7 linked regions of the Mus musculus genome follow. The protein of the gene in region 5 purifies or fractionates together with the protein of the main gene of each other region. This does not show direct contact. Links are inferred from orthologs where the notes say so. Each region holds a gene or a part of one and is shown on either strand. Other genes may lie near its edges. The genes, in order: Zup1, Atrip, Cdc45, Parp1, Rpa2, Rad52 and Prpf19.

The links.
Region 1: the proteins of Rpa2 (region 5) and Zup1 purify together in Homo sapiens (affinity purification with western blotting; 3 studies listed by BioGRID, with this or other methods). This does not show direct contact. The link is inferred for Mus musculus from reciprocal best matches to the Homo sapiens genes RPA2 and ZUP1.
Region 2: the proteins of Rpa2 (region 5) and Atrip purify together in Homo sapiens (affinity purification with western blotting; 5 studies listed by BioGRID, with this or other methods). This does not show direct contact. The link is inferred for Mus musculus from reciprocal best matches to the Homo sapiens genes RPA2 and ATRIP.
Region 3: the proteins of Rpa2 (region 5) and Cdc45 purify together in Homo sapiens (affinity purification with western blotting; 3 studies listed by BioGRID and IntAct, with this or other methods). This does not show direct contact. The link is inferred for Mus musculus from reciprocal best matches to the Homo sapiens genes RPA2 and CDC45.
Region 4: the proteins of Rpa2 (region 5) and Parp1 purify together in Homo sapiens (affinity purification with mass spectrometry; 3 studies listed by BioGRID and IntAct, counting the BioPlex papers as one, with this or other methods). This does not show direct contact. The link is inferred for Mus musculus from reciprocal best matches to the Homo sapiens genes RPA2 and PARP1.
Region 6: the proteins of Rpa2 (region 5) and Rad52 purify together in Homo sapiens (affinity purification with western blotting; 3 studies listed by BioGRID and IntAct, with this or other methods). This does not show direct contact. The link is inferred for Mus musculus from reciprocal best matches to the Homo sapiens genes RPA2 and RAD52.
Region 7: the proteins of Rpa2 (region 5) and Prpf19 purify together in Homo sapiens (affinity purification with western blotting; 4 studies listed by BioGRID, with this or other methods). This does not show direct contact. The link is inferred for Mus musculus from reciprocal best matches to the Homo sapiens genes RPA2 and PRPF19.

What each region holds. Positions count from the first base shown.
Region 1 is NC_000076.6:33,948,460-33,952,467, forward strand, and holds the start of Zup1 (zinc finger-containing ubiquitin peptidase 1), read right to left. Parts: upstream 2,801-4,008; 5' UTR 2,672-2,800; intron 2,159-2,671; exon of another isoform or gene 2,024-2,158; intron 1,406-2,023; 5' UTR 1,289-1,405; intron 1,040-1,288; 5' UTR 1,026-1,039; coding exon 470-1,025; intron 1-469. UniProt on the Homo sapiens protein: Deubiquitinase with endodeubiquitinase activity that specifically interacts with and cleaves 'Lys-63'-linked long polyubiquitin chains. Shows only weak activity against 'Lys-11' and 'Lys-48'-linked chains.
Region 2 is NC_000075.6:109,071,325-109,075,591, forward strand, and holds the start of Atrip (ATR-interacting protein), read right to left. Parts: upstream 2,801-4,267; 5' UTR 2,681-2,800; coding exon 2,431-2,680; exon of another isoform or gene 2,335-2,430; intron 1,414-2,334; coding exon 1,283-1,413; intron 565-1,282; coding exon 394-564; intron 1-393. UniProt on the Homo sapiens protein: Required for checkpoint signaling after DNA damage. Required for ATR expression, possibly by stabilizing the protein.
Region 3 is NC_000082.6:18,809,173-18,813,204, forward strand, and holds the start of Cdc45 (cell division control protein 45 homolog), read right to left. Parts: upstream 2,801-4,032; 5' UTR 2,394-2,800; coding exon 2,343-2,393; intron 2,193-2,342; coding exon 2,133-2,192; intron 1,310-2,132; coding exon 1,217-1,309; intron 1-1,216. Other genes in the region: Ufd1 (ubiquitin recognition factor in ER-associated degradation protein 1), read left to right, coding at 3,243-3,245. UniProt on the Homo sapiens protein: Required for initiation of chromosomal DNA replication. Core component of CDC45-MCM-GINS (CMG) helicase, the molecular machine that unwinds template DNA during replication, and around which the replisome is built.
Region 4 is NC_000067.6:180,578,891-180,582,390, reverse strand, and holds part of Parp1 (poly [ADP-ribose] polymerase 1), read right to left. Parts: intron 3,238-3,500; coding exon 3,023-3,237; intron 1,859-3,022; coding exon 1,756-1,858; intron 1-1,755. UniProt on the Homo sapiens protein: Poly-ADP-ribosyltransferase that mediates poly-ADP-ribosylation of proteins and plays a key role in DNA repair.
Region 5 is NC_000070.6:132,774,860-132,778,359, reverse strand, and holds part of Rpa2 (replication protein A 32 kDa subunit), read right to left. Parts: intron 3,344-3,500; coding exon 3,227-3,343; intron 2,113-3,226; coding exon 2,005-2,112; intron 1,708-2,004; coding exon 1,613-1,707; intron 571-1,612; coding exon 486-570; 3' UTR 1-485. UniProt on the Homo sapiens protein: As part of the heterotrimeric replication protein A complex (RPA/RP-A), binds and stabilizes single-stranded DNA intermediates that form during DNA replication or upon DNA stress.
Region 6 is NC_000072.6:119,901,210-119,905,497, reverse strand, and holds the start of Rad52 (DNA repair protein RAD52 homolog), read right to left. Parts: upstream 2,801-4,288; 5' UTR 2,663-2,800; intron 1,177-2,662; exon of another isoform or gene 1-1,176. UniProt on the Homo sapiens protein: Involved in double-stranded break repair. Plays a central role in genetic recombination and DNA repair by promoting the annealing of complementary single-stranded DNA and by stimulation of the RAD51 recombinase.
Region 7 is NC_000085.6:10,893,932-10,898,030, reverse strand, and holds the start of Prpf19 (pre-mRNA-processing factor 19), read right to left. Parts: upstream 2,801-4,099; 5' UTR 2,582-2,800; coding exon 2,563-2,581; intron 529-2,562; coding exon 379-528; intron 215-378; coding exon 138-214; intron 1-137. UniProt on the Homo sapiens protein: Ubiquitin-protein ligase which is a core component of several complexes mainly involved pre-mRNA splicing and DNA repair. Required for pre-mRNA splicing as component of the spliceosome.

The sequences.
Region 1 (4,008 bases), on a different chromosome or scaffold from region 5:
GGGTACTGAATGATACTCAAGAAAATGGAACATATTTGTCAGAGACTCATGAAACATGAACCAAGATAGTCCGTATCTCTATCTCCAGCTATAAAATAAGTCTCAGCAAGTCCAAAAGGCTCAGTATCAGTGTGTTTTGTTAAATAAACATCATGGAGTGCAAACTAAAATTCATTAACACCAACCCACAGTCTAGGACAATTGAGATGTTCTGGGCTAGTGGTAGTACAAATGCTCTCTAGAAACTAGAAAGTTACCAAAACTGCTCTTACTTTAGCTAAAGCATTCTATATCTGCATCAAACTCTTTATAATTTTTATATTGGAATGATAGCAAATGAAAAATACTATGAACGTAAATTGAATCTAAAAAGCACAATTGTAGCAATTGACAAGCCAACTCATTGGATACCACATATTAAACTGAGACTACCGCTTTTATAACAATTTAAATAAATTGAGTACTTTACCTTTTAATGGACTTTCTAAAAGACTGGCATGCTTTGTTTTCACATGAATTTCCATATCTTGACTACACCCCTCAATTTTTCCACAAAATGGACATTCGGGAGGACTGTATGTTGTTTCATAAATTGATCCTTGGGCCTCAGACAATCCAGGCTTCTTTTCTCTGCTCTTTTGGTACTTTCTAGATTCAGTTATGTTCTCTGTATAAAAAGCTTCATGCTTTACAGTCCTATCTTTAGGAAGGCTTTCAGATGACTCTTTTGGAAAGCTAGATGCACAAGCTGAATGAATGCCTGAAGTAACTTCCGCTGTACTCTGCAGGTTGGTGTTCTTTCGGTCTGAATGTCCATATTGCACTGCAGCTAGCTTCTCAGAGTTTTTTTCTGGTGCATTTTGTTCAAAATGAACAGTTTCGATATGAAAACATATTTCGTTGTAATTTATACCTGACAACTTGCAAAATGGACAGATAATTTCATTTTCCATGTGAACAATTAGGTGAGCTTTCATATCTGGTTCTGAGTTTACAGTTTCACCACATATGTTGCAGGAAAGCATGGCAGAGCATGGGCCTAGAATAGAAGTAAAACAAAATTGTAAATTTGAAAGTCAAAGTTGAAGAAAAGCACATTTCATAAAAATGATTTGGGACTCTTCTGTGGAGTATTTAGAGCTATATTAGCTTTGGCAAAGAAAAATTCACTGTACTTATCATTCCTTAAATAAACACACTTATTTATAATATGTCCTAAGAAAGCCTAGCTACAGGTCAAGCATTCTTAATCCAAAAATTTAAACTCCATATGCTCCAAAATCCAAACCTTCTGAGCTGACATGTCCCAGTGGATCTATGCCTGATCTCAAACCTTCTGAGCAGACAGGTCCCAAGTGGATCTATGCCTGATCACACGATGTAGGACAGTCAAAACACTGGCACACTGAAAATAGAAATACATACAGAGAAATATGTTTTAAAATACAAGCTATATATGACACAAACAAACTTTATGTTTAGTATTGTATTTCTACATATTCTAGATAAAGGATATTGTGCCTGAATGTCAAGATATCAGAGGTAATAATAAGAAAATTTATGAGTAAAACATTTCAACAAGGCATTGGTGATACACCCTTTTAATCTCAGCACTCCTGAGGCAGAGAGCAGGTGGATCTGTTAGTTGGAGGCCAGCCATAGCTGAGTTCCAAACCATTCAGGGCTGCATAGTGAGACTCCATCTCAAAAAACAATAATACAAGGCATTTCGTCCAACAGGTAGAAAAAAAAGTATATTTAATAAGTTGTCCATGTAAAATAAAGTAAAACAGAAGGCTAATGTTGATCAACATATTTACTTGCATGTAGTAGAATGAGGAGGGTAAATCCACCTTAGTTCACTTCAGAGCTTTATATGTGTCAAACTTAATACCACTGCTGTGGTTTTACATACATGGAAACCCTGGACCAGACAGGTCACTACAGTCAGATAACGATGGAAGGTAAACACCGCAGAGCCCAAAGGTAAAAGCTGTGAGCATTGTAGGAAAACAGCACTTACCGCCAAGATCTAGGAAACTGGGGTATAGACGCTGGTTTCATTAGGTTAGCTAACAGCTCAACCCTCGGAAGTTCATTTTCAAACGAGTTATGAGATTGATGGGCTAATGGGAGATGGACTACTTGTAGGGAGGTGCTAAAACAAAACAAAACCTTTTAACGCAATCACAAACCCAGACCTTCCCCTAGACTATCACCTGGCTGTCACGTATTTTAGTAATAGGAAGGAAAAACGAGGGCAACTATTCCCTTCATCTAATTTCAGCTTTACAAAATCTTTCTACATTTTCCTTTTTCTCGTTTCTCTTCAGACAGTAATAAGTTTCTGTTTCTAGAAGGAAGTTCTATCGATACCTAGTTTCGTTTCTTCCAAGGACTGGGGCACTGCAGATAAAGGACACACTACAAGTAAGGGGGGACCTTCGAAGGGCTAGCCTGGGTACGGGATGGCGAAGGTGGTAAGGCCCGAATCTGTCAAAGTTCTGAGCCAACGTCGCACCGGTGGGGCGCAGGGAACCGGACCTGCGGCCACCCGGAGCCGGCCTGCAGACCCGGACCCACGGCTAGACCGCCGCTCCTCCCCACCGCAGGAGCCAGCCACCGCCCGAAAGCGCGCCCCACACAGCCCGCCCGATCGCCAAGGACAGACCTCCCGAGACTGCCGCGCCGCGACCCAAAAGAGAGCCCAGGCCTCCAAGAGTCCTCCGCAGTCACAACAGACCTTCCTCACTGGCCAGAGAGGGTAGAGATCCCAGCATGCCCCGCTGCAGATCCGTCTGAGTTGCGGTGCATTGTGGGACTTGTGAGGGATTTTTGCAACTTTCGCTTGCACATCAGAGCATCACTGCCCCTCCCACCTTCCAGTTGCAGTTTCCACTCCAGATATGCTAAAACCGTAACTAGATTCTGAGTACATTTAAATGTCTGATTCTGCGGCAAACACCTGTTCCTGTTTACACAGTATCTGAGCTCTAAATTATGTTCTGCGGGTTAATTAAGACAAGTTCCTTTGTCAATATTACAAAGTTGCTTATCCAGTGTTAACAGTCTGTTTCTCCCTCTGGGGGATTGATCTACGAGGCAACTACGGACGTGTTTAAATATGAGGATGACATAATCTGACAAGTATAATATTTTTAAATTATTGGGTATCGTTGAACGTGATGCATGGAGGAAATACTATTTCCTTTAGTAGAATTCCTTCTTTTAGTAAAAAAAAAAAAAAATTCGAAGTCATTGTAAGAGTGAAAGTACTCTTACAGAACATTTTCAAGCTAAAAATGAGCACATTAGCAGTTAACCATTAGCTGCGAGGCCAACAACAATGAAATCATTTCTCCAGAGGTATAAAAACGTTCAGAAAACAGAACTTTGTGGAATGTCTAAACAAGGGGCAACTAAAACTCTGCTTCCAGATTTCCTCCTTCATCAGCTTCCCACTTGACTCGTCTTTTCCTCCAAGACAGTATTAGTTAACGAAAAAAGATGAACTGGCCATCTTCTGTAACCAGGTTGTTATGCCCAGTTTGCGGGAACCCCAGGAGACTGCCAGAAATTGGAAGACCAAATGTAATATACAAAGAGTTTTTATTAACCGGGACCCGGTTCGCTATCTTTCCCAATGCACAGTGACCCCTAAATCTAGGGGTTTAAGGTATATATAGGAGGATGCATAAACTGGGGCTCTCAACCCCTGGTGTTACATGATTGGGAAGAGGAAAAGAGAACCGATAGTATTTGTTCAGACAGGGAGGAGGAATTGCGCAGCTGGAACAAGACCTTTTTGACCTGGGAAGACATAACTTATCAAAGACCAGCGTGTTTTTATAACGCAGTCACAGCTGCCTGAGAATGAGTGGACTTTATCACTTCGAGAATACTAACTCCTGTCTCCTTCAAAGGTCGGAGCCATCTGTGCTTGGGAGAGTGCTTTTATGAAGGAAGGATCACAATATTCCGGCGCCAGATTGGGCTCTCTTTTGTCTG
Region 2 (4,267 bases), on a different chromosome or scaffold from region 5:
AGCTAGTGATTTGTTCCTGCCAAGAATCAGGACCACAGCAAAGCAGAGTTTCATCTCAGTCTTTTTCCAAAACAAATGCAGACCCTGGAAGAAAGATACATGCTATTCACTAAGGGCAGCGAGTACTTAAACAATGGGTGAATGTTTCCAGGCAACATTGTTTATTGTTTCTATTTTGTTTATTTTTTAGAGAAAGTTTCTCACTTGACTGGCCTGGAATTCACTGTGTAGTCTACGCTGGCCTAGAGCTCACAGAGATCCACCTGCCTCTGCCTCTTGAGGTTAAAGGCATATGTCAGCATGCCTGGCCTTGGCTGCTCCTTCTAATGTCAGTCAGTGGATGGACAGGTGACACTACTGTCCCCAGCGCGTGACACAAATGCTCTGGCTCACCTTTCTGGAGAATTCCTTTTCCTTTTCACTGAGTGCTTGAGTCTTTTCTTGCTCAAGAAGGAAATGTGATCTTTTCTGTTCTTCTAGAACGGATTCTGTCTGACGCAGAGAGTCACGCAAAATTTTAATTTCTCCATTCTTAATTAGGATTTCTTCTTCCATTGCTTTCAGCTGTAAATTACGCCCAGTCAACAGATATTCAGCAAGAACAGTTTCAGAATCCATTCACCACTTACACACAGATTCTTTCAGCTTTAACATTACGGCTCATACCCTCCACAGACTAAAACCCCATGTTGGATTTCTGGCTTTCTTAGGCACCTACAGATGGCCAGGTGAAAGATGTATGAGAGCCTGCAAAACTAACAAATATCAACCGCTAAGATGACATGTTCCTCAGATAAAGACCTAAGCTGTAGAGGCTAGAGAGATGGCTTAGCAGCTAAGGGCACTCACTGCTCTTACAGAGGACCCAGGTTCCGTTCCCATTACCCATATGAGGTGGCTCACACCAGTTGTGTTGATTCCAGAGGACCCAGCACCCCTGACCTCATGGGCACCTGTATGCATGCAGTGCATATAAACTTATATAGGCTCAGGGATATACACAGGGTAAATAAAATTTCAGGCATTCTTTCCCCAACCTTCTTTCATTTCAGAGGAATAAATCTAGATGTTTGTTTTATAGTTTTTATATATTTTACACATGCTTTTTAATACCAAAATGAATGAATTAGCTGCAAATACAATAAGTTAGGGCTGGAAGGATAGCCTAACAGTAGAGTGTCTGTGTATAGCATGTGTGAAGGTAAAGTCCTGAGTTCAATTCTCAGCATTACAACCAAACAGGCAAAACAAAACACAAACAAACAACCCAAAAGTCACATACCTTTTCTTTAAGTTCTTTGTATTGTATCTGAAGTACTTCTAATTCAAAATTATCTTTAACTGGAATATCTTCTCTGCTTTTCCTTATAGGACTATTTGGTAACCCATCTAATCGGCGGACCTTATGAGCACCTGTATAAAAAGTAGTTGCCCTTAGGTTGAGCATGGTGGCACAGAACTGCAATCCCAACACTTGTGAAGTAGAGCTATGGGGATCTCAAATTCAAGGCTAGCCTTGCTAGAGATCGAGAACCTGTCTGGAAAAAATAATCCCATGTATACTGCGGGGCTCAGTATGTATCCACCTTTGTCATAAAATGCAGAAGGAGTCACTCTTGAAAGCCAAGTTGAGAAAGACCCAGGTAACAGCTCCGAGCATGGTATAAACACATAAAGAATCCTTATGGCATAGCATATCTGAATTCTCTCGCTTTATACCTCACCCACTTTCTAGACTCTCAGCTCATAGCTGAACAGAGATTGCACTGGCTGTGACTCTACCATAACTACTATTTACTACAACATGTTAGGCATAGGATCTGCTGGTTTTAAAGACTGATGGTGAACCAAATGGATACATTCCAGGGGGAGGTGGGGCTCCAGGGATGGAGTAAGGTAGAGTACCGGGTGATGTAGGGCCAAGGAAGGGGGAGGCAGCATTGCTTTGTGCCATTTCGTGGAAAGTTGCGTCTAACCACTGCCGCATATGACAGCTGGTCAGCAATGAGTGTTTTCCAATGCCTGGTTTTCCATGCAATATTGCTGGAGAGATGGAGGGCCAGCCACATTTCCAGGGATAATCCTATTTTTCAGATGCTGTAAGTGCTAAGTACATTCGCAAGGTGCCCATCAAACCCTCCTGACACTTAACTTATTCCCCAAGAGTGTAAGCTCTAAGAAGAAAAGCAGCTTTGGCATTTCTTGCCCATTGCCTGTTTGCCATGCCTAACCTTTGGGCAACTGGCATTTTTGTGTAAGACTCTCTTTCATCTCTTGCCTCTGTCAGACGCCTTCTAATGCTCTTCTGCCCAAGGGTTACAATGGGGTGCATACCATCTAAATGGGAGGCCATTTAACATTCTGGATGTCTCACCGCCAAATCAGAGGTCTGCACCACCCGCCGGGGGAAAAGGCCCCTCAGGCACTCACTGGACAGGTTCCGAGGCGCGACGGGACACTGGCTCAGGGCCTGTGACGCGAGGATGTCGAGTTCCTCTAGGTCGTCCGCAGTAAATTCCGCGTGCTCACCGAATGGGTCTTCGGGGTCCGGGACTGTGGTCTCAGAGAAGCTCCGGGCCCGCTTGCTCGGAGGGTTCTCAATGGATCGAGACAGACCGGGGAAAGGCTCCAGGCCGCCACTCTGTTTCCTGTGGCTGTTCGGTGCGGGGGTCCCGGCCATGACTACCTTCAACCCGCAGCATCCGAAGACGCCAAGCACAGCCTTGTCCACAGAAAGCCTGAGCTGGCCCAACCGCCCGCGCGCCGCCGTTCCCCTCGCCTTCCAGCGTCTCCCCAGCCTGCGGGCCAATCAGCTGCCAGCTACCGGGCACAGATGGGTGACGTGTACAGAGCGCGCCGTTACCCGGGACAGGCTCCTGCGTGTCTGGGCTCAGTACGAAGGGGTCCCCGGTGATGCCAGGGTACTACAGTGCTGTCAGGATTATCCCGGTTGCGAGATCGAGGAGCGTCTGCCCGACCACACCTGAGGCGGTTCCCCGTGGCACTGTGTAGAATACAGAGCCCTAGAGAAGCAGGCAGCGTTCAGGGGTCAGCTCTCCCTGACCTCACTCCTCGCGGCTGACCCACCTCTCTCATGTCCAGAGACTCTTTTAGGGAGGAGGCTGGGAAGAGCAGACTTGGGGAGGAGAAGGAATGCTTTTCTTCCTGGAAGCAGAGATCTTCCAGGATAACAAATGTTTCAAGTATGTATATTTGAGAAAAAAAAAAAAAAAAAAAGGCTGGGAAGGATGGTCTCGAGAACGGCGTGCCTATTCGGAACTGCTCCAACTGTTAACTTCCATTTATTTCTTGGAGAGTCTTTATGTCCTGAGCGCTGGTTGCGTAGAGACAATGAAGCTCAAGAGGTCAAGGAAGGCTCGCTGGGAGTGGTCCTTGAATTACCCAACAGATTGAGGGGGAAATAGCAAGAAAAATGGGTTAGGAGGCAGACGCATGATGTTTCTGAGAAAAATTCATCTTCGACAAGGATGCCAGGTGGATGCCTCCTCTTTGCGACAGACTTCATGGAGGAGCAATGATTTGAGTTGGGCTTGGGTGTATGACTGGCTTTTATGAGCTGAAGTGGTGGGCAGAACAGATACCAGAAATGGCGGATTAGCATTGGAAGGCAACAAGATCAAGACTTTTCTACTCCGTTTGCTCAATGCCAGACTTAGTTTGTGAACCTACCAATGTTTGCTGAGGCGTTGGGCGGAAAGGAGAGCGCTCAGGCTTAGAATGCCTTAGGCCTGCCAACCCACCCCCACCCCACCCCTGCCTCATTATTTTTTATGTGTGTTTTACCTTCATGTATGTATGTGCATCACATGCATGTATGCCTGGTGCCTACAGTGGTCAGAAGGCATTGCATCACTTAGAACTGCCTTAGTTTCTTGATTCAGCTGCTGGTAGTTTTCCCATAGCTGCCCAACATAATGTTGAATGTTCAAGTCTCCCAGCAGCCCCCCACCCCCTTTGGTTATATGTCAAGACATATAACCAAAGCTGGCCCAGAACTCCAGAATGTCCTTCCTCCCGCTGAGTGCTGGGATTATAGACATGAGTTTTTGTTTGTTTGTTTTGTTTTTGTTTTTTGTTTTTGAGATGGCCTCAAACTTCTAATCCTGTCTCAGTCTCTAAAGTGCTAGAATTGTGAGTGTGGGCTACCAGGCGTGGCTGATTGCCCAGGTTGTAATAGCTACGATCTTTGGTTCTGGAAACAGGACATTGTCAGGAGGGATTACGTTCTACCAAATAAACGAGAAGT
Region 3 (4,032 bases), on a different chromosome or scaffold from region 5:
CTCGCGGGCTGTTGCTCAATGCCAAAATGTTGCTGCAATGTCCCCTACAGCTTACCACATCACCAGCACTGTGTGGGTTAGGCTTGCAGTAAATCTTGGGCAGCCTCACGTGGCCTCCTCAATATTAGATCCTTTATCAAACAATCACTATAGGTAAAACCTTTCCTTAGTAACACCAAATTGCCTGCCTATGGGCTCACACCTGTAATACAACACTTTGAAGGCCAAGGAAGGAGGATTGTCCTCGGCTAGCAAATAAGATCTTGTCTCAAAATACTGGAGGTAAAAAACTCGACTGATATAAGTACTTCAAATTATAAATGAATCTCTTCCAAGTCATCCTAGAAGCAGCCAGGGACTCCAAATGCATTTTGACATGCCCTACCCATTCCCTATAGGGCCTTCAATAACCCATTCTCATCTGGTCCCAGGCAGAGGTAAGGAGTCTTGGTTCTACCGTTTAATTCCAAAGTGAAAACGTGTTTGATAACTGGAATGCATTTTCTAGAGATAACATAGAGCAGTAGTGTATCCTAATGAAATAAGTGAGGTTAGGACTGAACCCCCTCCCCAAGAGCAAGCATGAGCTGGATCTAGCCTGCTGCCCCCCACTCCCCCTGCACACATATGTAGCAAGTGCAGCTTCATCTTCACGTGGATCCCCAACAACTCAAGAGGGGGCTGCTCTGACTCTGTTGCCTTTATGTGGATTCCATTCCCCTAACTGGGCTGTTTTGTCTGGCCTCAGTGGGAGAGGTCCTGCAGTGACTTGATGAGCTGGGAGGGTGGGGGTGGGGGGGGTAACACCCTGTAAGGGGGGGTGGTTCTCCTTCTCAGAAAAGGGAATAGGAGGAGGTACTGTGGGGGGGGGTAACTAGGAGGAAGGAGGCTGATATGGGATACAAAATAAATAAATAAATGGAAACAACAAGTGAGGTCAGAGTAGGTGCTGCCCACAACTAAACTGTTTTTATTTTTGAGACAGGATCTTGTCGTGTAGCCCAGGCTGGCCTCAGTCTTGCTAGATGTAGTTCAAACCTACCTTAAATTGGTGGTTCCTTGGCAAATGTTGATTCCGCCACCATAACTTTAAGCCTAATAAAACTGATACTTCAAAAACACCCTTCTCCTACTTCAGAACTGGACAAATGCTAAGTATTAAGAACCTGCCACTGAGTAGAGTGGCCTAATTATTCTCCAATTCATTAGTTCATACCTGCTCTTTATGTTCAAGATATGCAGTTTCAAGTTCTTGCCACCCAGAAACCGGAACCAGCGTATACTGGACGTGGTCACACTGAAACAGGGCCTGGAGAGAGAGCATGTGGTCAGAAACCCTCATTAAAGATAACTTACCTGCAATCACCAGAAGCAGACTAGTTGAGTTGAGACAAAGATCTATGTGATATGCTGTTTGGTAAAAGGTCAATAGGAGAAGCTACGTGGCAAGGCTGTGAGCAAGAATTCAATCTGAATCTGTACAGTGTGCCAAAGTAAAACATTAAGAGAAAAAAAATACCCTAATTTTAATTACAGGGGTTCTGAAAAATTCCTAACCCCAGCACATTGTAAAAACCACACTATGAGCCGGGTGTGGTGGCGCACGCACGCCTTTAATCCCAGCACTCGGAAGGCAGAGGGAGATGGATTTGAGTTCGAGGCCAGCCTGGTCTATAAAGTGAGTTCCAGGACAGCCAGGGCTACACAGAGAAACCCTGTCTTGAAAAAACAAAAACAAAAAAACAAACCACACTATGGTCAGAGCCCAAACTAACAATCTTCTCTAATAGACTCGGGGCTCCTGTATTTCCTGCACTCCCTATTATACCACTCCCCACTGTCACATCTCCTCTCTCAAATTCCATCTTTGAGAGGTCATTTACAAATTCAAAGATTTCAGAAGTGAAACCATTTTCACTTGGGTTACTGTATAAAACACTACGTACTTGTCTCACTGTTTGCACTATACTTCTCTCTAGCTCCAGTATAGGTCAGAGAGGATATTTTGGGTTCCTCACCTCCTGCCTGCTCCTTCTGGTCCCTCCCCTTCTGTGACCTACCCCCTGCTGGGGCCAACCCTGATCTGTCACCTCTCCCTCCTGTCCTACCTTCCTAAGGTATTCAAAGCTCACCTGGAGGATCTTGCAAGCACACAAGGCATCCACGTCCGAGGCCACAAAGAGAAGGACCCTCTGTAGAAGCAAACGTGGACAGATGAGTTGAACACAGGGACGCTAAACTCTGTGGCAACTCTCTGACCTCCCGGCCCATCCACGGACACTCGCCCTCTTCTCCCCAGCCCCCAGATAAGGTTTGGATCAGGATCGTGGAATGGGAGTCACCTGGTTGTGGACCGTCTCGTAGAACTCCTTGCGGAAATCGGTCACGAACATAGCCACAGCGGCGGATACCTAGAACTGGCGCTGAGACACGGACAGCCCCGGAGGTCGTCAAGACTCCCGCCAAATCACAGCTCTTCTGATTGGTCCACGCCAGCAGCCAATAATTCTTAGCCTTTCCTCCTTTCTGATTGGTTCCTACTGGGGACAGCCAATAATGCTCTGCTATTCGCAGCTGGATAAGACCCGCCCGTCCCTCAAAAAATGAAACATCTTTCCTCAGGCTGCGAACCTTGTTGCCGGTGTTGACGCTAACGTCCAGTCACCCAAAACCACCTATGTTTGGCAGACATCTTTACTTCGGGAAGGAAGGTCTATTATCTGACCCTGGCATACTTAGAAAACAATATACTCTTAGACATAAAGTAAATTCAGTCACACATTATTTGAATGTGTTTCCAATAAGTTTCCAATACACGGTTCGTCGAATTAGAGTGAGCTATAGATTACTTCCGCCCGAATCCATGATGGCCGGGATCAACGCCGGAAACTCTAGCTGCATTCTGGGTATTGTAGTCCGTAAGGAGAACGGCTCCTATCAAGTTGTTTGGAAGAGAGTACTATCTAAACATTATAAACAGTCGCTATCCTGTGAAATCAATTATCAAGTGTTTTAATGTTTACTTTAAGTAATATTCAAACCTCAGGCCTTCCCATGACTTTCTGTTTTTCCGCCGCTGACTTCAGGCCTCCGTACCCCATCCCCTGCGGTGTTCCGTCACTTCCGGCGAGCCTCTCGCGGTTTCTGGGTTTCAGAGCAGTGGCCTGGACTGCAAAGAGGGAGCTGTGGGTTTTTATTGTAAGGTTCAGGAAAAGAAGCGGCATCACCAAACGCTGTCAGTCATGGTGAGTTGACCGGGGATCGCGAACCGGATGATGCCAGAGTTGCCCCTGGAGCTGGCAGGGAGGGCCTGGACCTGGTGGCGGAGGTGCCGAGTCACCCGGGCCTGCGTCGGGCCCCGACACTGTCCCGAGAGCTTCTGTCCCAAGTGGGACCCATAATTACGAGCCACCTCTTTTCTTCTTAGCTTGTCCGAGTCATGACTCGAATGCCTTTCGGCGGGACAGCAGCCCCGAGAGTAAAAAGGAACCTGCTACTTTATGTCGATAGTTCTCATAAGTGCTCGACACGCAACAAGTTTCCATGAACTCGGAGTTAACTGGAGATTTCTTGGGGGAGTGGCGCGAGGGAGGAGAAAACGAAGGACATTAAGCTCAGCCAAAGTTCCCTGACCTTTTATTTAGTAGAAATCATGTCTTAGGCTGTATGTCACGTTGTGTTCATCACGTTGTGATAACGACAATAGGTAATATGTAGTGCGCCTTTTTTCTATCAACGTATACTTATTTAATTCCTGCATTCCCCATGGAACATAGGTACGTAGTTATTATATTTACCGGTAGAACTAAAACTTAGAGAGGTGGTACTCAGGAAAGTGAGGCTCAGAGGTTGGAAGTCAAGTCCATCCGGCTGCAGTGATGTCTCATCACTCCTGTATATAGTGTTGACTCCGTGCCATTTGTTTGTTTGTTAAAAACAAGAAGTGATTATTAGATTTTTATCCTGAGTGTCACAGTAAGTCCCTGTCTAAGTTCATTTACATAACCAGCACTGAGTGTTTGATGTGTTAGG
Region 4 (3,500 bases), on a different chromosome or scaffold from region 5:
TGCCTTGATCTTGGGGCCATCCCTGGGCACTGCGACATTACACAAAGAGGAGCGACTTCATTGCCATTGAGGCAGGGAGTGTGGGCCTCCTCCTTTTGGGATAATAAAAGGTCTGGGTTATACACTTTAGGAAGTCCAAGAGGTAACTTTTAGGGGGAGACTGGAGTAAGACAGAATCTCACTCAGGAACCCTGGCTGGCCTGACGTTCACTATGTAGCCCAGGCTACCCTCAAATTCATAGAAATTCTCTTGCCTCACTCAGTCTTTACTGGACTGTAAACGAGTTAATCAGGGCTAGCAAAATGGCTCAATGGGTAAAGCCACTTGCTACTGGCCTGATGACCTGAGTTTGACTCCATCATCCACATGGAGGCTTACAGCACCATCCCTAACTTGGCCCAGGTACCTGGATGCCCTTTTCTGACCTCTTCCAGCATCAGGCAAGCATGTGGTACATAAACATATACAGAGGTAAATAAAACACTCATTCACATAAAATTTGTATATATGATTGACTTACTTTGAAACCTCAACTCAGGTTACTAGACTAGGTAGACAGTGTTCTTCCTGGCCAGGCTCTACCGCCAGTGCCAGGCCCATCAGTGAGCCTTCCTTCTTCTGCATACCCTTGATGGGGCTGGGCTGGCTGTTTCTCCAAGGCTAGTATGACCAATTCCACCCTCAGGTTTACACCCCCCACACTCAGGCAAACCCCTGTACAATCAAAACAAAGCACAGAGAATCTCTTGTGCACTGTATGGCATCACCTGTCAATAGAAAAAGCTGTTGGCCTATTAGCTCAGGCAGGAATAGAAGGTGGGAGTTTCAGTGGGAGGAGAGGATGCTGGGATAGTTAGGTGCAGAAAGGGGATTAGCTGATGGAGATGGTCTGATGAACCTAAGAAGAGGTAACTAGCCATATGGCAGGACTTAGAATAAATGGGGTAATAAGATACAAAGTAGGGGAACTAGCTGAAGCTTTTGGCCTAGGCATTTATTCATAAGTAATCTAATCGCAGAATTGTTATTTTGGGAATTTGGATGAGGATGGAAAAGCCTACAATTACAATAAAGCCAGGCAATCCTCTCAGAATACATTTGCAAAGTATGAAGGAGACCACTTGTAAGTAAGACTGGATCCCTTATTGCATGGGTCCTGGTGTCACCCCCTCAGAAACCTGTTTCAAGAGACAGAAGTGACTGGAAATGCCTGGTCCCCATTATCTTTCCCAATACCCACTTGTAGATTTCCCTCACTTAAGCTCAAGCAGGTATATATGCGACCTCTTCTAGAACTGGGACTTTAAAATCTTGATTTCAATGTCTACAAAGTGCCTACTTTTTGCTGGTGTTATGTAGCATCTCATTCATTCTCACAACTATCTGCCAGGAGGTATGGCAGGGTGAGCCTCCACGCTCCTTGGGACAGCAGGCCAGGAGGGTTGAGCAGCAGGCTGCTCCTCCCAAGATGGAAAGGAGAGCGCTGGCCATACCGACACCAAGGAAAGACTTTAACTCCACTGACTGAGGCACCTACAAGCTCACTCCCTGCTTTCCACTCCCAGTGCTGGGCTCTCAATACCAACATCCTTATTACTACTCCCCATGGTAGGGCACACAGTGGGAGGCCAGAAGGTCTGTGAGCACAGGGCTCATGGAAATAGCAGACCTCTCTCTCTCTCAGTGATGAGTGTGCACTGGTCTCGGTGAGCAGGGTCGGCGGGCGGGCGTCTGTCACAGAGCCGAGGACTCACCTTGAGGGCCTTCTCCAGCTTACTACTATCCTTGTCCTTCCCTTTCTTAGATTTCTTTTTGGCCACTTCATCTGTTCCATCCACCTCGTCACCTTTTCTCTTTCTGAAAGAAATGCAGGACTTTATAAGAACCCACAAGACCGATGCTCAATGCAACCAGGTAACATGTCACTTTAGCCATTTTAGCTGCCCACCTGCCCTCTTAGGTACAAGTGCTACCTGCAGCCAGGCAGACAGGAGAGGCCACGCCCTTCAGGACCTTTTCTGCCAATAAGGAGGGGCCTGGAGTTCACCCTAGTGTCCAGGACGACCAGGACAGACCAAGGGCTCAGGTCACACTTCATGCTAAACCCCACATCTCTGGCGCAGAGTGACAGGGAATTGTGGAAAAGCCAAACACAACTGTAAGAACTGAGCCTGGAGTGAGACAGGGAGCTGCTCCCCAGATCTCCACGAGGCCTGAGTTCACCCTGGTACTTTCTAAAGCCACCTGCTAGGGACCAGCAGAACTTGTGGGACTATGGCGATAATGAGATCAGGCACAGAGCTGGGCATGTTCCACCTCTCCAGCATCACGTCATAAATAAAGACAGCCGGAGAATCCCAGCACCCTGTGCTGTGACAGTTCGAGGGCACCCTCACCCACTGGCCTGACTTGCTCACTTCACATTCCAAAGCCACCAGTGCTGCTCTATGAACCTGTGTTAGGACCACAAACAGTGCAAGAAGCTGCTTGGTGACAGTGGCATGGGTGTCGCTGATGAGCATGGTACAGTTCCACAAGGCTCAGCATGCTCATTAATAAGACTGAGACCCTTCCCATCCTAGATGCCGATTCCACATGTGGGCCCATCTGTTCTGATTCCAGGCCCTTCCCGCTGTTCATCTTTTTGTGAACAGTCATGATTCTCCCAGAGATGCAGACACAGAGACACCTCTGCTGCGTGACTAAGGCAACGTTAAAGGAACACAAATGCAGATCTTGGAAGCACAGCCATCACCAGAGCAAGGAAGCTTGGATGGCCACAAGGGTGGCCTTGTATGAGAAAGTGGCAGTCTGCTGTACTAACGCCTGGGTGCAGGAGTCGGGAGAGGTTCAGAAGCCCGGGAAGATGTCATGGTCGGCGAGCTGGTGGGTGGGTACTGGAGCAGCAGATGCCCTCTGCTCCTATAGCCTCAGAGCTCCTCTCTTTCTGATCATCATTATCAGAGGAATGGAATCCACAGGCTCCCCTAGAACTGTACATTCTAACCACATCCCACCTACCCTTCATTCTTGATGGCCGGGAGCTGCTTCTTCAGAGCTTCTTTGTCTTCTGCAGAGAGGAGGCTAAAGCCCTTGAGCTGACTGGCACTGTACTCAGGCCGGAAGCCCAGCTCGTCCCGCTTCTTGACAAAGCAAGTTGGATGGTACCAGCGGTCAATCATACCCAGCTGTGGCTTCTCTGGATCCACCATCTTCTTGGACAGGCGCATCTGGCCCTGTAGGGAAAATCATGAGGTATCTAGGGAATAACAAGGCAGGACAAGGACCAGCTAACCTAGGGCCTTGAGTCCAAACAAAGGCACATGAAGCCAGCTTGAAGCTCTCAAAACATTCTGAGTTTTACACCATCACAGACTGTGAGGTACCCTTAGGCCCCAGCACTCACACTCCATGAGACTGATACATGACCTGCTATGCTAATAAAGACCTTGCTTACACATCTTAAATGACTACCTACATACCTATACTTAGACAAGTA
Region 5 (3,500 bases):
CACGGCGGGCAAGACAAGGGAAGGAAAGTGCAATTCCGAAAGTAACCCCGCAGACCCAGAGGGCAGCGCAAACTGGCAGAGGGTGGTAGGTTCTTCTTTGGCCCTTGGCCCTAGCAGTGCTTGTCCTCAACACGAAGCCTTGGAGAACAGTCGCTCTCAAGCAAGCTGAAGCCCTGCCCTGACATCTTGGCAGTGTTCCTCTTTCAATTCCGACCACCCATCCTGGAGTCCTGACTAGCTTATTGGAATTTCTTACAAGAAATCCAGTCCTGGTTTACTTCCTTCTCAACTGTCTATCTCCCTCTGAACCTCTAAACAACAAGCAACAAAACAGAGAGCACTAAGTTCCAAAAGGACTTCAGCTGAGTGAGACCTTCTACAGCAAAGTTCTGTCCTAGAAGCCTCTGGCCAAAGCCCGCAGAGCTGGGGCCGACAGAGGAACACAGGCCCAGCTGGACAGATTCCAGGCACCCAGGAAACTCCAGTCACTCTGCATCTGTAGACTTAAAGTGATCGTCGTCCACAGTAGAGTAAATGTGGCCCTCGTTGCACAGAAAATCCACTGCTTGCCTGAAAGGAAAAAAAAAGGGGGGGGGATCCCCACATTAAAACCAGCGCCTTTTGAACATAGCTAAATGAGCAAACATCACTTGTTTGTGTACTTCTCTTAGCTGTGAATTCCTCAGTCACTTTGTTCATGGAAGTCTCTCGTAGAGAAATGTCGATACAACCCAAGGGTTGAGGTTATCCATGCAGACCAGAGCTACCAGGGCTGCCTTGGATCCCGGACTCAAATTCCAAAATAAAACAAGGCTTCACTTAGATGCCAATCTAAGTTGACGTAAGATCCTGAAGCTACAGTCAGCTCGCACATGAGATGTGCACAGGGGTCTTACAGCTCCCTTCCCTGGATTCAGGCCCCAGAATCACACACTGAGATGCCGTTTGCTTTGCCTATGGGCAGTAGAGTGGCGGGAAGGGAAAGGTAAGCCAGAAAGAGACTCCTCCAAATCCTTAGGTCCTCAGAGACAGGAAGATGTCTAGTACGAGCCATTTACAGTGTAGCTACCTCAACACAATGACTTTGAGATGGGCGTTATCGACCACCATTTCACAGCATAAAATGGGGAACTGGCCTGGGCATTTACTCCATCTCGGCATATAGTTAGTAAATGGGTTTGCTTGTTTGAGACAGGGTCTTGGTCTCTATGTAGTCAGAGCTGTCCTGGAACTCGCTATGTAAACTCGGCTGGCCTTGAACACACACACACACACACACACACACACACACACACACACACACACACACACACCCATCTCAGTTCACTGCAATGGAATCAGGAGTCTGGAGTAAGAAGGGCTGCCTGATGCCTTCAGGTCCCAACAAATCAGTAAGCGGTGCAACAGCGCCACCTGTGAGTGCTTTTCTGTTTTCTTCCCAGCAGCTGACTCCTGTGTGAGTGAGTCTCAGGCAGCCCAGGTTGGCTCTGAACTCCCAATCCTCCTGCTTCTATCTTTCAAGTGCTGAGATGATAGATCCGGCTTCACCTTTTCCACTCCCCACCAGCAGAAGGTTGTGGACAGATCCAAGGCCACGGACAACAAGACTCACTTGATTGAGGGAACAGGCATATGCTGGAGCTGGCTCCTGAGGTCCTGGAAGTTCAGGCCTTCAGGTCTTGGGCAAGCCTTGATCAAATTCAGCACCTGACAGTTCAGAGTAAAAAGACTTTAGCAACCAACTACTCTGCATCAGCTTACTTACGATAAACAAAGAGGAGCTGGAAAGATGGCTCAGGAGACCCTGGGTTTCCACCCTCTCTATCCTCTACTGGTATCGGGCATTGTGGACATACACATATCCATCTGTACAAGCAGGCAAGCACACACAAGTTAAAAAGGAGGGGTGTTGGTGTGAAGCAGGCTGCAAGATAACCTCCCATCATTTGGGAAGAAACAAACTATCAGACTGCCCGTGCTCTGCAGGGTAAGCAGGCAGCTTACCTGGTTTTGGACCACAGTGAGGCCATTTGCTGGCATGAAGTTATTCCCGCTGAAGTTCCCCGGCTCACTCATTCCTGGGTTGCTCATCGATGGTCTCCCTGCAGAGGCCTGAATTAAGAACAAGATCAGAACATTAGAAAAGCCACCACATCAACCCTACTCCACCTAACTTACTAATAAACAGCAGCAAACAATTTAATCAGTTTCCCTAGTAACGACTGATATAGGAAAACTCTAACAATGAAACCTCGTAAGGAGCGTTAACTAACCCCGAGGCATGCATTCCCTGTCCCCGGAAAGGAGGCTCTGGCACTACGACTTCACATGCCAGCTACAGCGGCTTCCCTGGGCTCGCTCAAGTGAGCATTTATTATCGTGAAACCCTGTTGAGAGAGAAAAGGGCCCAGGCTTGCCTGTGAGTACAGATCCCTGGCAGAGGGCTTGCCCACTATGGATAAGACCGAGAAAGGCACAGATGCTTCACCCTCTTTTAGGTCACTCCTTCTCTGCCTACCACTAGCTGGATTATCTCAAATCCTCTGAATTGAGTTCTACCAACGTCTCTAGTCCCTGGCTGCTCCAGCCTTTTGGTCACCACAACATCTGACCTCTTAGCAGCAGACAATGCTGCCCACTGCTCCCCAGTGGCCCCTCCAGGCTTCTCTGGCTCCCACTCACTCCCACTGCACCTTCTCAGAAGCCTTCCTCTCTGCAGTGCTGATGAACAGGACATCCGCTAAGTCTTGTACCCACTGAACTGAATAACAGGGTCACACGGCCTGTGAGGTTTAACACAGTGCGACCACACAGAGGACAAACTCTATCCTATTAGGCCATCCAGTCAAACACCCATTAGATGTCTGTTGTTGAGATGTTTTTATGGCGTACAGGTTGGACGCAAAATGCTGTTTGGCTTTGAAACTTTTGGTCAGCTATCTTGGTATTGGGTGAGAAACAACTGGAAACTCTGAGAAACATGAGTGTTTCACTTAGACTAAAGGACAGTGGCGAAGCTCGGGGAGAAAATGTGCTGAGGACCACGTGATGGCTGAAGATGGCTCAGCAGTGGGAGCTCTTTGAGCTCTTCCTGAGTTTGGCTGCAGGTGGCACACAGCTTGTAGCCCTACCTGCAGGGGATCCCTCACACACCACACACAGACACGGAAATATGAATGTTAAGTTTGGTTTCCCAGAAAGGGAGGAGTCAGTTGCAGCTGCTCACCTGGCTGTTGGGCTTGCTGAGCATCATGTGTGAATTGACCACTTCCAGGATGTGTGCGGTGAACTCATTCATGTCTTCCAGAGGAATGATCTTAAAGGCCACCAAGCTCTTTTTGTTCTATTATAAGTAAGAGGAAAATATAAGTAAAAGGCAAACATATTCAAGTGACTTTCTGGGCAAAACGCCTGTTAGACTTAAAAATGTGAATATGAATGTGGGCACATGTACCACTGTATGCAAGGGAAGTCAAGAGGGTAGACTTGGTGTGTTGGTT
Region 6 (4,288 bases), on a different chromosome or scaffold from region 5:
AGTTGGGGTCTCATTCAGACTGCCCTAGAACTCACTGTGTACCCACTCCCTGCCTTCTCAGTCCAGATCAGATATTGTCCAGTGTTCTATCAGAATAAACCAAAACTGCACAGAAGGAAGGCCTTGTCCAGAAAGAGGCCAGCCCACAGCCTTCTGGTGGCAGGTGGCAGGAACTCCTTTCCCTTCCCAGGTGACTTTGGTCGGTGTATCTCACATTTGAGGTTGTTCCTGTGGGGGAGTGCTGGGGTGGGACATGGATGGCAATCTTGCTTCATATTCAAATTGCTATCACCACAAACCCTGTCTACATACATGAGAAATGAAGTCGGCTCCGTTCTGTACTTAGATTTTGAAAATAATGAACATATCTTGTCTGTTTGGTCTTATAATTTCATCAAAGCATCCATCTATATTTTAGGTGAAACTGTCACCCAGAGCTGGTCAAGGCGGCCCATGACTTTAATTCCAGCACTTGGGAGGCAGAGGCAGAGGCAAGCAGATCTCTCAGTTCTGGGACAGCCAAAGCTACAAAAAAAAAAAAAAAAAAAAGAATGCAAGCCTGGCCTGATGGTACTCACCGTTAACCAGCACTTGGAGGCAGCCTGATCCAGTGCGAGAGAGGCCCTGTCTCTCACCAATTAATGAAAAAGTAGGGAAAGAGGAAAGGAAGCTGCCAAAGCACCCTTAATTGTAGACAGCATGCTCTGTACACGAGACCCAAAGACTCCATCAGGAAAGTCTCAGAGCTGACAGTCACTTTAATCAAGTACCAGAAGGCAAAATTAATTCACAAAAACCATTAGGCTCTGTGCAGACCAATGACAAACACAGTTGTATTCACAATTACAACTATAAACAAACGACCATGGAATAAACCCAGCCAAAGAGGTGACTTTCGGGGGTAGGGGGGTCTCTCTGTGTAGCCCTGGCTGTTCTGGAACTTACTCTGTCGACCAGGTTGGTCTCGAGCTCACGGAAATCCACCTGCCTCAGTCTCCTGAGTGCTGGGATTAAGGGTATGTACCACCACACCCAGCTAACATTGTTTTAAAAACTGTTTATGTGCATTGGTGTTTGTCTGCATATATGTGAGGGTGCTGGGTCCTCTGCAATGGAAGTTATAGACATGTGGGTGCTGGAAATTGAACTCAGGTCCTCTGAAAGAAGAGCCACTACTCCTAGCCACTGAGCCATTTCTCCAGCCTGCATTTTTTTTTAAAGATTAGAAATTTTGATTCTTTAAAAAAAAAAAAAAAAAAAAAAAAAAAACAGCCAGGTGATGGTGGCACACGCCTTTGATCCCAGCACTTGGGAGGCAGAGGCAGGCGGATTTCTGAGTTCAAGGCCAGCCTAGTCTGCAAAGTGAGTTCCAGGACAGCCAGGTCTACACAGAGAAACCCTGTCTTGAAAAAACCAAAAAAAAAAAAAAAAAAAAATTAATGTTTGTATTATATAAGTATGTGTGTTTTGCCTGCATGCTTATCTGTGCACCACAAGTACTGAAGAAGGTATCCCTTATAACTAGAGATATAGACAGTTGTAAGCCACCATGTGAGTGGTGGGAATTGAACCCAGGTCCTTGGGAAGAGCAGCAGCCAGTTTTTTAAATAAAATATAATTCACATCATTTCCTCTCTCTCTCCTCCAATCCCTCATATCCCTCTCTCAACTTCATAGCCTTTTTCTGTTTTGTTTTACACAGACAACAGAGACATACATATATGAATAAATAAATATAACCCCTAAGTCTGTTTAATGTAGCATGTACATGTACAATTTTAGGGCTGATCACTTGGTACTGGGTAATCCATTAGGGGGTTCATCTCTGGGAAAGCCATTCTCCCTTTCTGACAGTCATTAATTGCGTATAGCTCTTCATCTAAGGGCGGGGCCCTTTAAGACCCCTCCCCCAATCCAAGTTGGCATGTCAACTGGTGCTGTTAATTGTCCAGGTCTTATTAAAGAAGCAATATTGAGATGGCCATGTAGGGGAATCAGCCTAGATGACCATCAACTTAATCAACTGATGGATAATTCAAACGAGATACAAACATCGGAACTTTATTCTGCGGAACAGATCCCACCGAAACCCACACAAAGTACTGTATTTCATACAAGTGAAACAGGTTCACTGACAAAGCAGACGGGGGTCCTAGGATGACGGGAAAAGTGAGAGGGAGAGCTAACTGTGGCTTCTGGATTTATTTAGGAGTGATGAAAATGTTATGGAATTCGATGTTGCTAGGGGTTACACAACCCCCAAGCATATGAGTAACCAGAGAACTGTACACCCCCGAGGAGTGAATTTAACCGTACTAATGCACGCTTCGTTTTTCAAAGTCCAGAAAGGCTACCCTGAATGTCAAACTCCTCAAGTCCACAGTTTCTTCTCAGCCCCACCGACTCCCTCCGACTTCACCCTGTCCTAGACAGTCCTGTTAACAGTCAGCGCGCGTGTCGCACGGTGCTCCCGAGCACGCGGTCAGCAACCCCGGACCAGGCGCCTCCCTCCAGATCCAGCGCAACCGTGGGGGCTTCAGGGCTCGGCCTCCCCGGTGGAGACGCCCCCGTGCCGGGCGTGTCCAGCAGCCGCCCGAATCCGAAAGGCCCCACGCTCCCCGACCCCGCTAGAACCACCCCGGCGAGGACCGTCCTCACTCACGCGCTTCGGAACGCGGTGCACGCAGGAGCTCGGTCCGGGTGCCTGCCGGGAAGCCGGAGAGGGCCTCGCAGAAGGAATGGAGACTCTGCAAGCTCAGAGTCCTCGCCCAAAGAAAAACAGAAGGAAAGGCCGTAAGTCAAGTCAGAAGGCGCCGAGAGCCGCAAAGCAGGCTGTCGCAAATCAAGTCGCGAACTGGAAGCGGCGGAGGACTCAGCATCCTGAGCGCTCTTGGGCTGTTATCTCACCGCCCGCGGCGATCAGCCTTCCCGCAGCCGCAGCAAGCCGCTTCGGTTTCCGTAGGCGCCCTGCGAGGGTCCCTGGTGTGACCCGGCTGGGTGACGCCCGGAGCCAACCTCTCCTCGGTGTGCTTTTAAACTCTGAGACCCTGGCAGCCAGTGGGATTTCCCCTGAAATTCAACCGGAACTAACTGGATGACAGTTACACTTTAGGCATCACTCCAAGTTAAACACAGACTGATCTCAGTTTATGATGTTTTCTGCTTTACAACAGATCTACGTCTCCAATGTGTAGTTTATATACTGAGAACTTTTTGTTTTTAATGGTCAGGCCTTCAGATTGTTGCAATTTAACCAATTCATTATATGGCCACTATATCCAGGATCTTTCGTGTTTTCCTAGATGGTTGACTTAACTAATCTTCCCAGAAACACGGAGTCAGATGCAGTTAATAAATAAATCGAAAGTCCTTTAGCACATTGTAGGGTCCATACTGACAAGACCAAGATAACAGGACAATGACACTAGCTACAAGAGAAACTCAGAATTCTGTTTCTGGAATTAGCTGGTCACTCAACTTGCCCATTACTTGCACAAAAAGGAAAGACTCTTTCTCAGGGCAGTGGTGGCCACATCTTTAATCCCAGCACCCAGGAGACAGGGGCAGGCAGATGTCTTGAGTTCGAGGATGCTACACAGAGAAACTCTGTCTCGAAGAAAAGAAAAACATCATTTGAAACTGTGCTACTGGCCGATGCAAGAGTACCAAATTTCCATTCTGGTGGCACAGACCTGTAACTCAAACTACTGGGGAAGCTGAGATAGGAGAATCCCAAAATCAAGGACAGCCTGGGCTTAAAACCTGTCTAGGTAAAAAGAGGGTTGGCATTATAGCTTAGTAGTAGGACTCTTGCCTGGCATGTAGGAAGTAATGGACTCAATCCCAACGACAGGGGAGGAGAACCTGAACATCTACGGCTACAGAGATCGCTCCACAGTTTAAGAGCACGTACTATTTCAGAGAACCTGAGTTAGGTTCCCCACATCCAAATTAGGGGACTCACAACTACCTGTAACTACAGTTCAAGGGGACCCAGTGCTCTCTTCTGGCCTCTGAAGGCACCGTAAACATACGACACTCATTTGCCCAGACACACAAAACATGTATACATATAAATAAAAACAAATCTTTTTTAAAAAAATAGACTATTAATCTGTTATCCGTGCGCCTCAGAACGTGGTGCTTGCAGGAGCTTGGCCCCGGGTGCCTGCAGGAGCTTGGCCCCGGGTGCCTGCAGGGAAGCCGAAGTGGGCCTCGCAGAAGAGATGGAGACTCTGCAAGCTCAGGGGACGCAGGGAAGAGGGCCATCAGGTTTGTACTGAGCCAT
Region 7 (4,099 bases), on a different chromosome or scaffold from region 5:
ACACGGTCATACATGTAAGCCAAAGACCCAGACACAGAAGAGAGAGGGGAGGGGAGGGGAGAGGAGGGAGGAGGGAGGCCCCATCTTTTCAATCCCCAGGTCCTAGCCCAGAGGTGCATTCTTTTCACAGAACTCACCCACTCATCCTGCAAGGCTTTCAGAATGGCTGGGATGCTGGTGGCGGAGGGAGGCTTGGGTCGGATTGGGTGAGCAACTGCCAAGAGAGGCAGCAAAGTAGGTATGAAGAACTAGAACCCAGGGAACTCTCCCCCACCACCCCCACCCCCAGCCACCATCTTCTCCACCAGATTGGCTCCACCCCCCACCGGTGAAGGCTGAGCTGAGCTGGCCTTGGACTTGAGGCTACTGGGCAGGCACCTTTGATGTCGATGAGCTGCTCCTCTGAGAGAGGCTGGTTGTTGATAGGATCTGTGCCATTCTCTGCAATGTACTTCTCAATGAGTCGCCGCTCATACACATGATTAGAGACAGGGGACACGCACGGGTGCTCTGGCACTTCATTGGAGACTATAGAGAAAGACAGGTAGTGAGAGTGAGCACAGGAGAAAAGGAGACGTGGGCAGAGGAGATTCTTCATTGTGTCAGCCCCAACAAGACCATGTCCTCCTAGTCAGCTATCAGGAAGCAAGGTCTGTGACAGCAAGCCTGCCCGTACTTGGTCCTACAATGCTCGCCAACTACTTAGCTAAATTCTCTGGTCTGCTGATAATAAAAGTCAATAAATAATAACTGCCCAGATCCTATGTGCCAGTACTGTACAGAGTGGTCAGTAAGTCCTGCCCATCTCATTTTTGAACCGAGATGGACAGAGAAGCACACAGAGCACAACTCAAACCTGTCATCCAGTGGGAGCCCTAGACAGATCAACAGGAGAAATTCCGAAGCAACGTGACAAGTACTGATAAAATGAAAACAAGCAAACAAAGAGCTCTGCTACTACATGCCAAGCAAGATTCTATTCTAAGCGCTTGACAGAATAGTCTGTGTACCCTTGAAGATGGCCGTTACAGCTGTCACTGACCTCCAGGACAATGCAGATACTAAGCTGACACTTGATAAACATCATAACAGGGTAAATGAGTGCAAAAGTCCCGGGGCCCAGAAAAGAATATTCCAAAGTACGAAGCCTTGAGCATGCTTAACTACCAAAATAAAAAATAAAGAAATGAAGGCCCCAAAAGCAGGCTTAAAACCAAGGTCTCTCTGACCTTCTCAGACTTGTTTCTCTACCTTCCCCTAAACAGGGTCAACTGGTTCACTTTAGCAGACAAGTGGAAGCTACCTCCACATCAGACTCTTCTGAAAGCTGCTCTAAGATAGCGACTTGTCACATCACAAAACAGCTCTTATTCACCACACAATTCTATTCAGCCTCCCATAGGTTGTGAGTCACCATCCTAAGGTTCAAGCTCCTATTCTTCTCCGTGGCTTCTCTTAGAATCACCTATTTTTGCAGGACTCCCATGCATGTGTTATTAAGTATGGATTTGTGCCATATTTAAAACCCGTATCTTGTACACGGCCTTCCTGTCCTATTCTGTTGGTTTATCACACTACTCGACGACTAAAGCTTTCTGGGAGCTTTCCCTCTTCTACCAGAGGAAGGATAGCCCTGGGCACGTAAGAGTGTGGTCTCAAAGATGGAAAGAAAACAAATCGTTTGTAAATACTTTGCAAACTGCAATTTCTCTAGTATGAGATTTCCTTTTCTGCTTGTCATTTCCCTCCTCCTTTTCCTTCTTTGAACTAATGGCAACGTTCTGAGAGGGAAATAGAGAAGGCGAGGAATCTAGTAACGTGGTAAACAATATGGGAGAACACCCGCAATGCCGTAATACAACACCCCAAGACAGGACAGCATAGTGCACGGGAAAACCATGGATCCAGGCTCAAAGAGCCAAGCTCCACTGCTTAGCTTCCTCGCACACCCCTAGGTAAACCCATTCTTCAAGACTTCCGACACCCTCTGTAACTCACGGATCTTTATTTCCCTTCAGACAATTCTTGTAAGCATAAAATGAGATCACCGTTTGGAAATGCATCGTAAATCAATACAGGTTTTCTAAACATTCGCTGTTTTCATTAGTCATACTGCGCGAGGCTAGAAGCCAGACACCTGGCTTCCAGCCCTGTCTCGAAGTCACTGCGTGATCTCTGCAAATCGGAAAGTCCGATTCCTAAGCGAGGTTTCCCAAGCAATGCCCACTGCAATGCTTTCAATTTTGCAGATGGGGAAACTGAGGCCCAAACCCGCTAGAGCCCAGATCACAATTGGAGGCGGATCCTGGGCATGTCCTCGGGTTTTTTGACACCAAGAGCTGTTTTTCACTGCACCAGCTCCTCCCCCCCACTTCTGCTCAGGCCTGTCTCAGCTCTGTAAAACGACGCCGGTTTCAAAAGACCCCTGAGACAGTCATTCTTCCCAGCTACGTGAATTGCGCAGCCCTGCGCAAATGCACCCTGCACGCAGGGCCGGGAGCTCCAGGGCCCGAGCCACAGGGGCCACACACGCTCCCGCCTCCCGCCGCAGCCAGCACTCACTCGAGCAGATCAGGGACATGGCGCCGTCGTAGCGCTGCTGCCAGTCGCCTCACAGAGGGTTCCCGGTTCTCTGCAGCCTCCGCGGGCCACTTCCGGTCCCCCGCCGCTTCCGGAGCGCTCGGACGCGGGTAGACAGCTGCCCAGCGTGGCGATGCTCGCACAACTGCTTCACGTGGGGAGGTGGCCGGTGGCGCGCCTCAGCCTTCTGCAGCTAACGGAAACTGCCCTTTCCCAGCATGCAACCGAGCAGGAAAAGGCCCGCCTCGAAACACTCGGCTGTTTCCGCATTGGCTCGGCTTCTTCCGGCGAGCGCTCCAAGAGGCCTGAGGCGGGAAGGAGAGAAGAAACTACATTTCCCATGAGGCTGCGGGGACCGCCAAGGCTCTTTTTTTTTTTTTTTTTTTTAGATGGAGCTGCTGTCACCTAGGGAACACTAGTCTTTGAAATGGTCGTGTGCAAGACAGATTTTTCAGGAGCTTGTAAAAGTGCAGATTCCTAGAGTCTGCCTTAGAGAGTCTGTAGGCATGATTCGGAGACCTGTGTTCCTTGGCCGGCTTTTGAGAAACAATGTGACCCTGTAAATAAAGCACAAATGAGTAAAGAAACTAACACTGCCTAAATTCTTGCTCTGGAAATATGGGCAAGCCAATGACTTCGTTGCCTGCTACGTTTTAAATATAGTCTGTTTTGTAAACTCAAGGGAATTTAGTTCCCAGCGTCTTATGTGTACGTTTAAAAGAATGGAAATTTGATGGGTGTGTTTGCAGAAGTCTTTAAACACAGGCACTGGGCTTCAGAGGCAGGCAGATCTCGGAGTACAAGTCCAACCTGGTTATATAGTGAGCTCCAATCCAGGGCAGTCAGAGCTGTGTAGAGAGAACATGTCTCAATAAGCAACCAAACAGTAAGAGTGGAAAGTTAGCACGACTATGGTGTTTTTCTGTGGTTTTGTTTTTGTTTTTTTGAGACTGGGTTTGTGTGTGTGTGTGTGTGTGTGTGTGTGTGTGTGTGTGTGTAGCCCTGGCTGTCCTGGAACTCAGTCTGCAGATAAGGCTGGCCTCAAACTCAAAGATCTTCCTGTCTCTGCCTTTTGAGTGCTGAAATCAAAGGTGTGTGTCATTACTATCTAGCTTAACTGTGGAATGTAGAGGTGGGATCTTTAGAATAAGACATTACAAGAATCCTGGTGGAGTTCATATAGGGAAAGAAAGAGTGAACAGGCACAAATGAACCAGTTGACTTCCATGGCAATGTGACACCAGCAAGGAAGAGGCCCTAGACATTGCCCACGTCATTCTCTTTGAACCTTGTGCTTCTAGAAATTTGAGCAAGGAGAACCCTCTTTTCTTTAAAGTAGCCTACCTCAGGTGTTTTGTTATAATAACAGTTCCCTGCCTCCTGCCAACTTCTTTTGTTTTCTCTACTAAAGACCGGACCAGATCGGCTACCAAGCCTGATACCCGAGTTCAGTCCCCAAGACACCCCCCCCACACACACACACACACAAGCACACACAGTAAAATAAATAAATAGGCTA